2 linked regions of the Oreochromis niloticus genome follow. The protein of the gene in region 1 purifies or fractionates together with the protein of each later gene. This does not show direct contact. Links are inferred from orthologs where the notes say so. Each region holds a gene or a part of one and is shown in the gene's direction. Other genes may lie near its edges.

Evidence for each region.
Region 2: the proteins of amot (region 1) and mpp7a purify together in Homo sapiens (affinity purification with mass spectrometry; 3 studies listed by BioGRID and IntAct, with this or other methods). This does not show direct contact. The link is inferred for Oreochromis niloticus from reciprocal best matches to the Homo sapiens genes AMOT and MPP7.

What each region holds. Positions count from the first base shown.
Region 1 is NC_031975.2:392,285-400,117, reverse strand, and holds the start of amot (angiomotin), read left to right. Parts: upstream 1-4,811; 5' UTR 4,812-5,126; intron 5,127-7,163; 5' UTR 7,164-7,225; coding exon 7,226-7,253; intron 7,254-7,833.
Region 2 is NC_031974.2:29,246,117-29,253,491, reverse strand, and holds the start of mpp7a (MAGUK p55 subfamily member 7), read left to right. Parts: upstream 1-4,370; 5' UTR 4,371-4,661; intron 4,662-7,375. Other genes in the region: waca (WW domain-containing adapter protein with coiled-coil), read right to left, coding at 929-1,121, 1,931-1,961, 3,788-3,842, 4,044-4,059. UniProt on the Homo sapiens protein: Acts as an important adapter that promotes epithelial cell polarity and tight junction formation via its interaction with DLG1. Involved in the assembly of protein complexes at sites of cell-cell contact.

The sequences.
Region 1 (7,833 bases):
TCTCTCTCTCTCCCTCTGTTCCTCTCTCTCTCCCTCTCTGTTCCTCTCTCTCCCTCTCTGTTCCTCTCTCTCTCTCCCTCTCTGTAGTCCTCTCTCTCTCCCTCTCTGTTCTCTCTCTCTCCCTCTCTGTTCCTCTCTCTCTCTCTCTCTCCCTCTCTGTTCCTCTCTCTCTCTCTCCCTCTCTGTTCCTCTCTCTCTCCCTCTCTGTTCCTCTCTCTCTCTCTCTCTCCCTCTCTGTTCCTCTCTGTTCCTCTCTCTCCCTCTCTGTTCCTCTCTCTCCCTCTCTGTTCCTCTCTGTTCCTCTCTCTCTCCCTCTCTGTTCCTCTCTCTCCCTCTCTGTTCCTCTCTCTCTCTCTCTCCCTCTCTGTTCCTCTCTCTCTCCCTCTCTGTTCCTCTCTCTCCCTCTCTGTTCCCTCTCTCTCTCTCTCCTCTCTGTTCCTCTCTCTCTCTCTCTGTTCCTCTCTCTCTCTCTCTCTCTCCCTCTCTGTTCCTCTCTCTCTCCCTCTCTGTTCCTCTCTCTTTTTTCTCTCTCTCTCTCTCTCCCTCTCTGTTCCTCTCTCTCTCCCTCTCTGTTCCTCTCTCTCTCCCTCTCTGTTCCTCTCTCTCTCTCTCTCTCCCTCTCTGTTCCTCTCTCTCTCCCTCTCTGTTCCTCTCTCTCTCTCTCTCTCCCTCTCTGTTCCTCTCTCTCTCCCTCTCTGTTCCTCTCTCTCCCTCTCTGTTCCCCTCTCTCTCTCTCTCCCTCTCTGTTCCTCTCTCTCTCTCTCTCTGTTCCTCTCTCTCTCTCTCTCTCTCCCTCTCTGTTCCTCTCTCTCTCTCTCTCTCCCTCTCTGTTCCTCTCTCTCTCCCTCTCTGTTCCTCTCTCTCTCTCTCTCTCCCTCTCTGTTCCTCTCTCTCTCCCTCTCTGTTCCTCTCTCTCTCTCTCTCTCTCCCTCTCTGTTCCTCTCTCTCTCCCTCTCTGCTCCTCTCTCTCCCTCTTTGTGCTGACAATCAAGCCAAACACCAACATCATCAAATATACAGTGGAAACCAGATATTTACACACTCTGCAGATAAAAACACAAACACTTTAATTGTAACATCAAATCAGACTAAATGATTATTTTTTTTAGATTGATAAATATAAAAAACATATTTGTTAACTTTTGTATTTTGTATTCAAAACTGAGCCACACTTATGGAGCTCCACAGTTCTTTTCCTGGTGTTTTGGTTGACATGTCTTGATTTTCCCATGTCAAAGAAACAGGCTCTGTGTTTTGCCTTATATGCATCCACAGGTGTGCCACCAATTTACTCACATGGACTCTACTAACCAATCAGAAGCTTCTTAAGCTCAGAATGGAATTGTCTGGAGTTTCCTTATTAATTAACAATAAACTTAGTGTATATACTCCTAAATTTGATGAAAGTGATTAAAATAGACAGCTCCCTCTTTTTATTCTGACATTTAACTAATTCAAAAGATATTTCAACATTTATTTATCTAAAACAAAACAAGTTTACTCTAAATTGATGTTTAACAGTAACAAAAAAAGTTTATGTTTTCTCCCTAAAGTGTAAATATCTGGTTTCATCTGTGAATATACTGCTGTGTATTGAAATTCCTCTTGTCTTGCATAGATATACTAAACAACATACAAAGCATAATATATAAAATAACATCTACCTGAGTTTTTTCTTTAAAAGAAGCTCCTTATGTCCATTCTTGTGTTCATCAGTACACAATTGAAACCGATTTAGAGAGTTTGTTTAGCCGTGGAGGGTAAGAACTGAAAATATGAAATGTAAGCTAAGACTTTCTAAAAAATCAGCACTGTCGTTCGGCATTTTATTTATCCATTTGTTGATTCACTCAAAGAGCAAATAACGCAGTAATATCGGTTTGATATCAATCTTTTGTGATACACCGTCATATTTACATTATTTGTACAGTACGAATGATTTGTTTTGGTACCTGGTCAAACTTAAGCTCTCCTCTGTCTGCAGCAAACTTGCAGGCAGCAGCTTCTCCCCCCTCGCTCACATGGGTGCTGTGCTCAGTCGCCTAGTGCCTGAGCTCGGATCATACCAAAATTAGGGGGAATTTACGACGGTGCGCTCTGTGCTTCGTGTGTTGTTTTTGTTTTATACAGTTGTCAGTCAGGCATCTAACTAATAAATTACACTCCAAAAGACCCCATGCTTCTGAAAAAATGACTCGAGACCAAGACCGGTCTCGAGACATCCAACTCTACTGTTTATAAGGTTGGGGAAACCTGCGGTCAGCTGAGCCTGAAGAAGTCACCTGGGTGAGTGATGAAATGTTTCTCCCACTGAAAACATCCAGATGAACAGAATCAACTTTTTGCTTACCTAGATGATTGAGCATGCATCAACACACTCATTTGTTATCTTGGCTGTGTGGTTAGGAACGTTGTCCTGTTAGAAGATGAACCTTTGTTCCAGTCTGCGATCCATAGAGCTCTGGACACATAACTGCATTCATCTTTCCCTCGACCCTGACTACTCTATCAGTTTCTCAGTTCCCTCTGCTGAAAAACATCCCCACAGCATGATGCTTCCACCACCGTGCTTCACTGTAACGATTTTATTGGCAGGCAATGAGTGGTGCCATGATGCTTGGCATTCAGGCCAAAGAGTTCAACCTTTGTTTCATCAGACCAGAGAATTGTGTTTCTCGTGGTCTGAGAATCCTTTAGGTGCTTTCTGGGAAACTCCAGGTGAGCTGTCACCTTCCACTGAGGAGTGGCCTCAGTCTGACCATTCTACCATACAGGCCTGATTGGTGGAGTGCTGCAGAAATGGTTGGACTTCTGGAAGGTTCTCTGTCCACAGAGCAACACTGGAGCTCTGTCCGAGTGACCATCAGGTTCTTGGACACCTCCAGCTCTAGGTAGAGTCCTGGTGGCTCCAAATATCTCCCATCTATGCATGATGGAGTCCACTGTACTCATTGTACTTCAGTGCTGCAGAATCTTTTCGTACCCTTCTCCAGACCTGTGCCTCAATACAATCCTGTCACTGAGGTCTACATACAGTTCCTTGGATTTAATGGCTCGGTTGGTGCTCTGACACCTGTCCATAGTTTGGACCTTACAGAGACAGGTGTGTACTTTCCAGATCATGTCCAGTAAACTGAATTTACCACAGGTGGACTCCAATCAAGTTGTAGACACATCTGACAGATGAACAGTGGAAACAGGAAGCACCTTAGCTCAGTTTTGAATGTCACGACAAAGGCTGTGAGTGCATGTAATGTTTTTGTTCTTTATTTTTAAGAAATTTGCAAGAACATCAAAGTCTTTTTTTAACTTGTCATTTTGTGTGTAGAATTTGAAGTGAGAAATGAATTTAATGTTTGAATTAAGCTGTAACATGAAAATATGAGGAAACGCTGTGAATCCTTTCTGGATGCACTGTAACTTGTTTCTGTGAATGATTGTTGTTGTTCTCTGTCAAAGCCATGCAGTCTGCTGATGCACTGTTGTTGTCTGACCCCTTTGCAAAGACAAATTAAAACCTCAGAGTGACAACCTGTTTGTGCAGATTCATTTATGTCAAATTTCCATAACATGGTATGGGGCATTTTAAAATGTTTAGTAAACCAAAAAAGTGGTCCTCATAAGATAAGTACGAAAATATTCAATATAATATGTGTATGATATACAGAAGCTGGTTCATTGGAAATAACTGTTAAATGAGTGTGATCCGGTCAGCCTGTGAGGACCCCTGCTTAACCAGCTTCTCTTTAATCCCACTAGCATGGCTAAATCTGTGGTAGCCTAGCTTATAGCATCAACTTGACTAAATATGTTCATTCCTCCTGATGTTGACTGCGGTTGGTGAACATGTGTGTGTGTTAGCCAAGACACGGGGAGAGAATGTGTGATGTTGCGTTTGTCCCATTACAACACAGTGATATGGGTCCAAGAAAAGATCTGCACTGGGCGCTAATAGCTAATTCAAATGTAATAGAGTTGAATAAAGCAGCGCCACCTTCTGGTGAAGATGGCCTACATGTACTGACCTATATAAAGATACAGTGCAGATGTCACAGAGCCCACTCTGGTCAGAAATCCTGCAGCCGTAAACTGACTTCACAGAAATGACCAAGAAGCTGAATGGCAGATGGCAAAGCTAAAATGCCAGTAAGTGAAAAGAAGTAATGTAAAAAAAATGAAAATCACATGATGAAGAAGCAGCCCTGAAGCCCACCATAGAACTGTGGAGCAGTGGTTAGCACTGTTAGCTCACAGCAACAGGGATCCTGGGCCTCTCTCTGTATACAGCACTTGTTTAATGATTGATAGTAACGCATTATTATCGTCACAGGGTCGAGGCAGGGCTTGAAACAGATGGTGCTAAATGACTGTATGTGGATTTGGGCTAAATGACGTGAAGCAAAACCAACATATGTGCACCTTCTCACGAAATTCCGACAGCACTTAAATGTAGCAGAGCTCCGCTGGGACGGACAAAGCCCTCTTTGTCACTTCTTCCCCTTTTTCAGCTTTTTCACTTGAGCCTCTGATTGTGCCGGGAGTGTCCCAGTGAGCACATTTAAACTTTTATCTTTAAACTGTGCTCGTTAAAACACCAAGTCGCCATCCTAAACAGCCATTTCAAATAATAATAAACTAACACTTGATCGTGTTTCATGACACACTTCGGGCGCAGAGTTGAGCTTTTAACTTTTTCCTGCTGGTTAGACCTTTGTTAGAGCCCAGTCTGGAGAGCAGGAGAGAGAAGGAGGGATTTCCCTGTTCCAAAAACTTTTTCATCCAGTTTCCATTAAGGAGGGGGAGGGAGGATGGACATTCCTCTCATACTGAGGCCAGGCGGTGTGTGTGGGGGGGGGAGGAAGGGGGTGCTTCCTGCTACTTCTCATGTACCGCTTCTTTCTTTACTCTCAACATGGAAAAAGACTCCTTGGCCTCGAACAAACTCTTTTTCCCGGTGAAAGAATAAAAAGCCCACGGTGACGTCCAAGATGGAGCGGCTGCAGCAGCGCGTTTCGTAACTTCAGGAGGGTCGGTGCGTGCCGAGGAGACACGACAGATCAGCAGGAACCGAACAAAAGAATGTTTCATTGGAATCAGGGGCTCGGAAAGTAAACCAAGTTCTTCAGGTAAATCATTTACGTGTGTGTGCGCACATTAACCGGATGCTCCGCTTATCTTTGTCAAACTGTTTTAGTCCTGCTGTTGTCATTTTACGACACACAAAACTAAACGGCTGAGAAAAAAAGACTTTCAGCTCGTCGTTCGTAAAGCTTAGATTGGCTTCGGACTCAGTCATGTGTGCTTTGAATTAACTTCAATAATCAGTGCCAATTCACTGACAGCGTGACGTGTAGGTGGGTGTAGCCTTTACTGCATCCTGGCCTTATCAGCAGGATAAGTTAGCTCTGTATGACATTTGAATGTGAACGTGGGGTCCTTGGAGTGGGTCCAGTCTGAAGTGGATGACACAACAGTTGTTTTGCATTCACAGCGTTGTACTGTCAATGATCACATGCGCACAGTAATCTGCTTATGTGACATTTGTACCTCAGAGTGAGTAACAGTGCAGTGAACAAAAACTAAACTGTAAATCTAAACTTTAACTGACCAGATAAACAAGAAAACTCACTCTATGGCTTTTTGCATAGTAAAATTTTAATTGGGAAATCCATCCATCCATCCATTCATTCATTTTCCCAACTGTTTATCCAAATTGGGCACGCCTTGTCCCACGAGCCTGCCCCAACCCTTACAGGGGGTTCGGCATTTCCACATAGCATCATCGCTTTAGTTTCTCTGTTGACACACACAGACTAAATTCTGATAATTGCCATTTAATTTAAGACTAAACAAGATTGAGTTTAATGATGAAGATTAATTTGTATTTGTAAAATATTTGAAATTGTAGCTTTTAAATGAGCTTGAATTGCCATTAATCACAGAGACTAGGACAGGGGTGTCCAACTCCAGGCCTCGAGGGCCGGTGTCCTGCAGGTTTTAGATGTGTCCTTGATCCATCACAGCTGATTTAAATTGCTAAGTGACCCCCTGAACATGTCTTGAAGTTCTCCAGAGATAATGAACTAATCATTTGATTCAGGTGTGCTGACCCAGGGTGAGATCTAAAACCTGCAGGACACCGGCCCTCGAGGCCTACAGCTACAGTTGGACACCCCTGGAATAGAAGGTGTAGCTGTACAGTCACTGGTCCTTTCTTTTGATTTGAAGATATTTGTTAACAGCACTCTTCAAAGAAAGACATTTGCTGCTCCAAAATTTGGAGTTCAGCTTGAGGTCAAAGGGGGAGTCCATCCGAATGTCTAATGTTAGGGTAAGAGTTCCTTTAACTGAAGGGGCCGGGCCCAGCTCCTGTAAAACAACCTCGCACCGTGATCCTCGCTCCACCAAACTTTACACTTGGCACAGTGCAGTCACACAAGCATTGTTCCCAAGTGTAACACTGAACTGGCAACTAGCAGAAGTAGTGAAGGTAGATGACTTTAATCCCTGGGGTTGGGAGGTCAGAGGTAGAGACTAGCAGCCGGGTGGTTTTGTGACGGAAGGATCGCAGCTCAGGAAAAGGGAGGATTTACAAAATGGTGTTTAGATCAAAAAGATGGGAGATGGAGCTGTTCAAGTTTTCACTGCGAGTGAGCAGGATGGACAGGACAGAGCTCGGGCTGAGATGGTTTGGACGAGAGCGGCAGCTTATGATTATTTTAGTAAACAAGTATTCCATTTCTTTTTCGAGTAATCGGATAAGACATAGTTTTGTTTTAATAATCAGCAGTAGTAAATAAAAAAAAAATACAGGTCCTTTAAAATAAACTCCTAATTGGTTTTCATGCTAGAAATGTCAGTGTTCTTCATAGTTTAACTAAATAGAAACTAAAGGAAGTGAACCCGCAATTGTATTTACACACATAAAAGAAAGAATTCTGAGAATGAAATGTAGACATGAGGTCACAGGTCAAATGTTTGGATGCAATGTTGGATGTGATATTTGGAATTCCCATATAAATGTTACCAATCCAACCAGAGGCACTGGAATTTAAAGCATAGTTTTAAAGTTAAAAGACATTTTATGAAGGTTTGATCTTATTTGACCTTAAAGAAGAGGTCAGAGGTCACATTGTAATGTAACTCCTGTATCTTTACTGTAGAATTGAGTAAACCAAACAGTGGTGGATGGGAGAAGCTCAAAGGTTTGCTGATCAGTGGTTTGATGGAGCACCCAGCTTTTCCCTGTAAAGGTCTGAATGGTTATGACAGTAAGAAGCACTGCTAGAAAAATGTTTTCACTCCACCAGAGCTCGTTCTTGTGGTAATGGTTACGACTTTTTTCTCCTAATCGTTTGTGTGTAGACAAACTTCGTGTTAAACTGTGACGTTTATTTTCACTACTGCTGTTGTTTTATCAGCCGTAGCAGCCAGTTTGCTAACATGTCAACAGTTTGCTAATTGACCGGGATCATAGTCTGACTTACAGCTGGTAACCCTAACCCCCACATACAGTTTACCCCTGTTATCCTTTGTTATCCTAGTGCTAACCAGGCCTGACCCTGCTTAGCTTCCAAGATCAGAAAAGGCTGGCTCCAACTTTTAATGTGCTATAACTTGTTTTCACCAGCCACATATCCCAGTATGTACTGCACCCGTGTGTTGTACCTGATTCTTGAATATTGTATCTCACAGTTTAAATATCTGCGGTTGCTTTAGCATCATTCTGCTTGCTTCTTTCATTTTATGTGTCATGAACAATCTGCACTGATCTTGAGTAACATCTGCAACATGAACGACTGACACTTAGCACTCTTCTCTTATACTGATATA
Region 2 (7,375 bases), on another chromosome or scaffold:
AAATAACTAAAATTGCAGAGCAAACAATGAGGGAAAGACAAGACACACAGTTTGTAGGGGTATGGATACACTTCCTACACTTAAAAACATGCAAAATGGATCTTTGGTGCTGGAATGTAATGAAATGTGGCCAATGCCTAAAGGTCAGACTAGTTAGCAAACAGCTGTTTTCATCTGGAAAAGAAAGACGCGTGCTGTCCTTATATTGTGAGAACCTATCCATCACGTGGCTGCTTGCATGCAAACTTGTGGCGCTGTTACTAGTGTTCGAGTAGTATTAGATTGCTGTAGTGACTTTTTGCAGAAAAGTGACCAGGACAGCTGACACTCAGATTCCAGAGAGGAGAGCATGTCTGAAAAGGAGCTCAAAACACCACAATACTCCATGCATGGATTCAACTGCTTGCGTGCCAGTTACTCAAAGTTTACCAAAAAGTCCACTTTGACAAAACTGTACTGAAATAATCTTGTTAAAATTAGCAGTTGACCAAGGTGAGGCAACAAAAGGAGTTATTCGCCTCCACAAAACGTGTCCTTCAAGACTTGAATGTCTGTGCAGAGTGTGGTCTTACTCTGGTCTCAATTTTAACTGTACTCACAGAACATCTACCTGTGAGGTTGGAAACCACGATAACCATTCATTCAATCAAATGCAAACTGCAGAGACTAATGCTCAGTGGTTAAAATTAAAACACATAGCGACAGCTTAACAACGCGTTTAGTTTAAATTTGTTTGTTCAAAAACTACCATGGCCGGATCACCCACGGTGTAAAACTGACAGGTGCAGTTTAAATACTGAAGCACTCAGTTGTAAGAAAAACAAAAAAACAAAACAGCGCCTCACTAAGAGAAAGAGCACCTGTTTCTGGAGTAATTAAAGAGAGCAGCTTTATTTCTTTCTAAACTCATTTTATTCCCCGCTCTCACCTCCATCCCTGTCTCTGGCCCGGTGCGTGTGGACACCCTTTGCTCTACTGTGCCCCGTGCTGTCGATGTGCTTGTTTTCAGGGCTGTCAGACCTCCTGAGCATCTTGCAGGGAGGGGTGATGTCTGAAGAGTCTCGCATCTTGTCATGCCGGTGGTCCCCTCCTGGATGGCTCTTGGATGAGTATTTGAGAGTCTGTAAACACAAATCAAATGCCTTACTAAAAACCTCACACTTAAAATAGATCTACGCTTCTGTTATCACCATTAGCAGGTTTCTAAAAGCAGCCATGGTGAGTACAGTCCTCAGCTCTTTAAAGTACTGTCATGTCATTTCATTCATAGTTTCAATGATGCAGAAATTAATTAGCACGAGGAAATACATATGTATAAATTGAGCAGCTTATTTATCGACTTCGCCCCTTCTATAAGCTTATATTTAACAGCCACGTTAATTTAGCCCGTATTTCTGCTCATAACAACGTATGCATGCAAACTAACACATGTTAAATGACGAAGTAAACAACATTTTATCCGACCTACGAGTATTAGCTCGCCATTTCACTTGGCTATCGCAATTTGAATTAGGTAGTGAATACACTGGTTTGCTGTATAAATGTCAAGCACTTTGATATTAAGGAAGCTTAACTGGCTATATCCTTAAAATGACAGATTGCGGTCAGGCCCTAATCGGACTGGCTAGCAAGCAAGCTAACAGTAACAAGCTATCATTAGCTTTCAGCTGTAATAAAACTCGCCCGTACCTTTTCCAAAACAGCCGACTTCGACGAATATGTTCACTCTGTCAAGTCTTTACTAGCAATGCTAACGTTAGGATACATTTACAGGGCTTCAATGGAGGTTTTAAGCAAACCTTTCTACTTTTTGTGTTATTTTCCGCACTGACTGGGGCCTGTTGTGCTCTCCAGAAGCCTGCATTAGAGTGTCCATTTTAATCTTATTTGCTGCTAGCAAGCTAGCAGGAGACGCTTGGCTAACAAGTACCTGATAGGGCTGAGAATCTCTTCGGTCGCACCTGCAAAGAAAAAGGAACCAGTTGTGAATTTTAAGCTTCAAATGTCAATGTTCAGAAATCGGTGAAAGCCCCGCAGCGAGTGAGGGATACAAGTTTCCACACAGTTATTTTGGTTTCAGTAAAAATGGCGGATTGTCAAAGCGTAGCTATGAGGAAAAGGAAAAAAAAATCTGAATAAGTAGGGTTAAAAGGAGGTGTTTACCCATCGCCGAGTCTCGGTTGTTTCCTTGCATACATTACCATCAATGCCGTGTTAGTGTGATTGGAGTGGGATGTGAAAGACTGATAACTGCACTATGTTTTCGTGTTGATTCAGCGACCTGAAATCGCCAGTTATTTTTCAGCCTAGCTTCTGGGTATTGCAATGCTAAATCGGCTGCACTGGTCGAAAGAGCGCCCTCACTCAGTCCATCTCCCACTCTGGCTCACAGCCGTGTCTCTAACAGCCGAGCAAACGTAGCAGAGAAGCTGAGCTGAGACCGGGGTTGCCAGATAGGCCAAATCCACCACTAGGAGCACGCCTTCGTGAAGTCAGAAAATGTTTACCCAGTCATGCTAATAACATTATATGTGTGAGTTTTTGTTGCTCTCTGTCATGTACATATATTTGTTAAGCTCATACTGTTAATTTTACTTTTACATTACCGAATTTGGATATGTAAAACTTACACATAAATGTTTTAATGGCGCATTAAAATCACCTCGTGTGCCAGCACTATGACGTCACTGATAAGTATTTGGAAAAATGACGAGTATACATTAACTTCAATTTTTTTTGCAGACCTGGCAACCTAGCTGCAACCGCTGCAACTACACACACCCCCTTTCTATGGCAACATCCGGGCCACAAAGCGACTGGAGTCCCCTCAAAACTTGCAAAAACGTTAATCTGGGTTGCTGCATCGGATATTTTCTACCCAGAATTTGGATTTGATGCGCGTGGCTCTTGTGGTCCTCCATACTGAATAAACGATTATGAATATAAATATCATGTTTACAGATCTGAGAACCAGTGACTTGTTCTCTCCTGACATCTAGTGGTTGTACTTTGACATCGCAGGTAATATTCATCAAAGCGTCAGCAATCAGTAAAACTGCACTATCTAAAACACGGTTTATGGTATACCACAAACGACTGGGAAGATTTTGAATGACAGACTTTCCTTTGTAAGATTAACAAATGAAACAGGGGCCATTTTTTATTACTGTACTATTCTGCTTTCAGTCAACTTTTTAAAAAATCTGTCTGTTAAAAATTTATGAAAGGGATATAGTAATGATAAAAAAAACAAATCCAAACATAAATATATAAATCCCCAAAGGAATCGTTATGAACTGAATTATAAACGCGTACTACGTTCCCAACACAGAGTTTGACCAGGTTGTATTAAAGTCTGAGTAGCTGTCACAAGGGGGCTGCAGGAGTCCATTGTTCCCAGACAATGCAGCCCACAACATATCCCAAGCCCGAGGACAAAAGAAGCTGCAGTTAAGCATTTTGGCTCACAGTGCAATTTAATGTGGGGACAAGAGGCCACAAACAGGGGGTGTTTCTATTGTTAGCATATTTCAGCAACTTGTTCACACACGCCCAGTGTTGCGTGTGTCCATGTGTATGATGTCTCTGAGCTATATTCAAATTCCATTAATTAATTAATATATTTATTTACGTATTTGTTTATTTGTTTTAAGAATAAAGCAGAAATAAATCAAATCACTTCTGGCCCGTCATTGGGCAGCTTGTTGCTTTCTATCTTAATGTGGCCGGTAGGGGGGAGGTATCACACCACTTTTATGGCTCTAGTACGAAAGGTACAAAAACTCACCTGAACACTAGATTCTGTTGGGTTGTGGTTTTTCTAGTTCTGATTTCTTTTCCAGCTATTTAAAAAAGATACAGATTACAAACTGTTTCACTGAGATCCAGGGAATAAAAACTGGCAAAACATTAGACAAAACATTAACGGCTCGAAGCAAAACAAAACAAAAAAGTCCGACTATGCTACTGTTCGATAAATGAAAATGAATTACTTCACTCCTTATGTCCAGATGAACAGAATCAACCTTTGGAGATTTACTTACCTGGATGATTGAACATGCATCAAGACGTTCACTCCTTATGATTAAATTGGCACAAATAACCTTTGCTTTGGACGCACTTCTGTAAATTTCCCATCTATTTGTCCATGAACATATTTCCTCACCGACCTGATTTTTAATTGTAATTGTGCCTCCTTGCTTACTACGGAAAGGCAAGTTTACAAGGCATTTGTGGATGACGGACAACAAAAACAAGCCAATTAAAATGTAGAATGAATCTCTGGACACGCCTCGATAGAACACTGACCAATGAACGAGCGAATGGGGTTGCCTGAGTGGTGAAAGCCCCGCGCGGCACAGATCTGAGAGCAGCTCTGTGTTGTTGCACGCCCTCCCGCTAACGCTGTGTCTAAATATACAAACCGCTTCCAAGTCAGCCCCTTGACAGAGCACTTTACGATTCTTGGAGAGTGGCACTGTCTGCTGAGGCGTAACGTTTTGAAAGCTCAGCAAACACCGCAGAGAGCGGGGATGAGTTAAGGGGTCTACAAAGGAGAGAACAGACGGTTTTGAAAGTGGGAAACAAAACCAGTGAAAAGTTTTGCCCTCCAAAGAACCAGTGGAGTAGCTACACCGTGGCCATTCAACTCCGAACTCCGAGTGAGTAGAACCATCACGTTATTTATCCTCACAGCTGTCAGAACAATGAAAACAAACTAACATATTTGTATTTAAAATAAAAGCTGCCTTGGATATTGCAGTGGTTCCATGGGGAAATGCGTAAGGCTATAGGTAGCAAGACTAGCCGTGTGACAGTATAGTAGAGGTGGAGTTGCTTTGTATGCGCTAACCTAACAGCGAACTTCAGTTGTTACCAACCTACAAAATATACAAGTGGGACTTGTGCCAAATTTTACACGGTAAAATTGATTTATTCGAAAGAAATGTTAACCTCGTCCCCTTCTTCCGACATTATATGCGCATTGAAATGTGAAATTCTTTCCTAATATCGCCTTTTTAGTAGTAAAATAAAAATTTCACCTGACGGCTTTTCTCGTGTGGGGTTTCCGTGGGGAAGTGAACGCAGCTGTGTTGCAGGGCCCACAACAATGTTTCGAAATGACCGTAATAAGTTGTTATTAGTGATAGCAACATGCACGGCTACATGTACAACCTAATGACACGACACAGGTAGTCCAACCTGGTAAAATACACACAAAGCAAGCATAAATGCAACCTTTCCACAAGCACACACACCTACAATGTAAAGCTCCTTCTCCCTCTATCCACGCCTTGTAGTGTGGACAGAGGGAATACAGAGCCCTTATGCCCTGCGAAGTCAAGTATGGTGACACGGAGCTTGACACTGGCTGACATCGCCAAGCCTCTGACTGGGCTGCCACACCGGGAGACTCAGCACTTGGCCAGCTGCCACCGCCTCCCAGCTCCGCCACTGGTTTTGCATATTTTGAATGTGCATAATCATGATCAGGCAGGTGTGTGTGTGTGTTTTGTCTCACACAATTCCTTCATAATCCTTATTGCTCTGCCTTCATATAATTATAGCTCACACCCTTTGTGCATCTTTACTTAAGAGTGCCTGATAGTCCAGAAGTGAAAGTATCTTCCTATAATGGGTTTCTTGAAGTGGCCAAAAGTCAAAGGGACCCAAGACACCAGTATAATTTGCTGAATTAAGCTGTTGTTTTCAATTCCTCTCATTCCTCTGAGTCACTCATTCCCTTGAAAGTTAAATTCATAACCACTGACTGCAGATGTGGCTGTCATGTAAAAGAGGAAGTGCAGTGATGTTTGGAGGAAACAGTTCATTAAAAAGAAAGCTGGACTTCACTGGCAAACATCCCATTGAATTCAAGGATTTTCCAAATTTAAATCAATGTCTAGGTGGCCTTATTCCAAATAAACCTCTCACTGCTTGCTGGCAGGTAAAGTGCCTGAACTGTGTCCCATCACTCAGTAGTGATTTTGTTCGTATCCTTTTACCACATTGTGGTGCTTTGGCTGAGAGTGAAAAGGAAAAAAAGATGGTAAGAGGATGACCTTCTTTTTCTCATGGTTCACTGCCACTGAGGGGACTTTCTGAAGAGCTGACATTCCTCTGTGTGGTTTAATCTACAGTTTTTTTTGGCCACCTATTGTGCTCTCACTGGGAATAACCCAGTTTTTTTGTTATTGTGTTTTTTTTAAAAATCTGGTCTAGAAAAAGGTAGGAGGCCTTTAGTCTGCATTCCAAATGGGCAGGAAAAGTCTCTCAGGAGACTTTGTAAGTATTTTAGTCAAGTTCATTACTCCAGCTTGTTTTTGAGGTCAGCAGTCGGGCATCATGACAGAGGGTTTCATTAAATCAGGTTTGTCATGGTTAGTGGGTTCAGGTGATGATTGAAGGGGTCAAGGTACAAATGTTTGCATCCTGGAAATTGACTGTACAAATGCCTGCTGCCAGATGATTTTCTTTTGTTTTTTGTGCACATAGTTCTCTGGAGTGTGTATATGGGAGCAGCGGAGGTTAGGGTGGAGTCAAATGCTGTGACTCAGACGAGGCTCCGTGTAGGAGAGTTTGACCCGTGTTGGTTGCCTGAACAGGTGTCTCCGAGCTGCAGCTCCGCATAGCTCGCATTCCCAGGGTTTTGTTCCTGGCGTGGATGGTCACTGAGCTGGGGGAGGGAGATGTGGGAACTAAGAATGCTATGCGTACAAGGCTTAACTCCCAGAATTCACCGTGGCAACCTGCTGACAGAGACAAACGCTTCCTGTCCCTACAGCAGCCTGGTCTATGTTGATGAGAAACCTATCAGCAGCTCAGTGCGGTGCCCACGGCCGGAGACAAAGCTGAGATTTGGTTCGGAACTCCTTGTCAGCAGGGAGGCTATTTTCTTGGAGCTTAAGGGTGGGTGGGATACAGTGGTTTAAGACTCTTAATCCAAGTATTAGTTTGGATTACTATCATCTCTCAGAGTCATGGGAAATTGCCTTGTGTGAAGACAGTTCATTGGAGTTTGCCTGACCACTCTATATCTCTCATGTATCTGTGACTCTCTTGGGTGTCCTGTGGGAGATGCTTCAGGAGAATGGGGTCCTGGGCCTGTTGTTAATGCTGCAGGTTTTTAAGTATCCTGGAATCTTGTTCACAAGTGGGGGAAAGAGTGGACAGATGGATTGGTGCAGCATCTGCATATTCTATTCAGATTTTATGAGGAGAGAGCTGAGCCTTGAAGCAAAGCTGTCAATTTGATTGGTCAGTTTAAAATCTGAGCTTTATCTCTGCCCATGAGCTAATGTTAGCAACTGAAAGACACTTATGCCTGCCTGGACTCACACTTATGGACCCGTTATACCTGTTGTTAGGCTGTGTT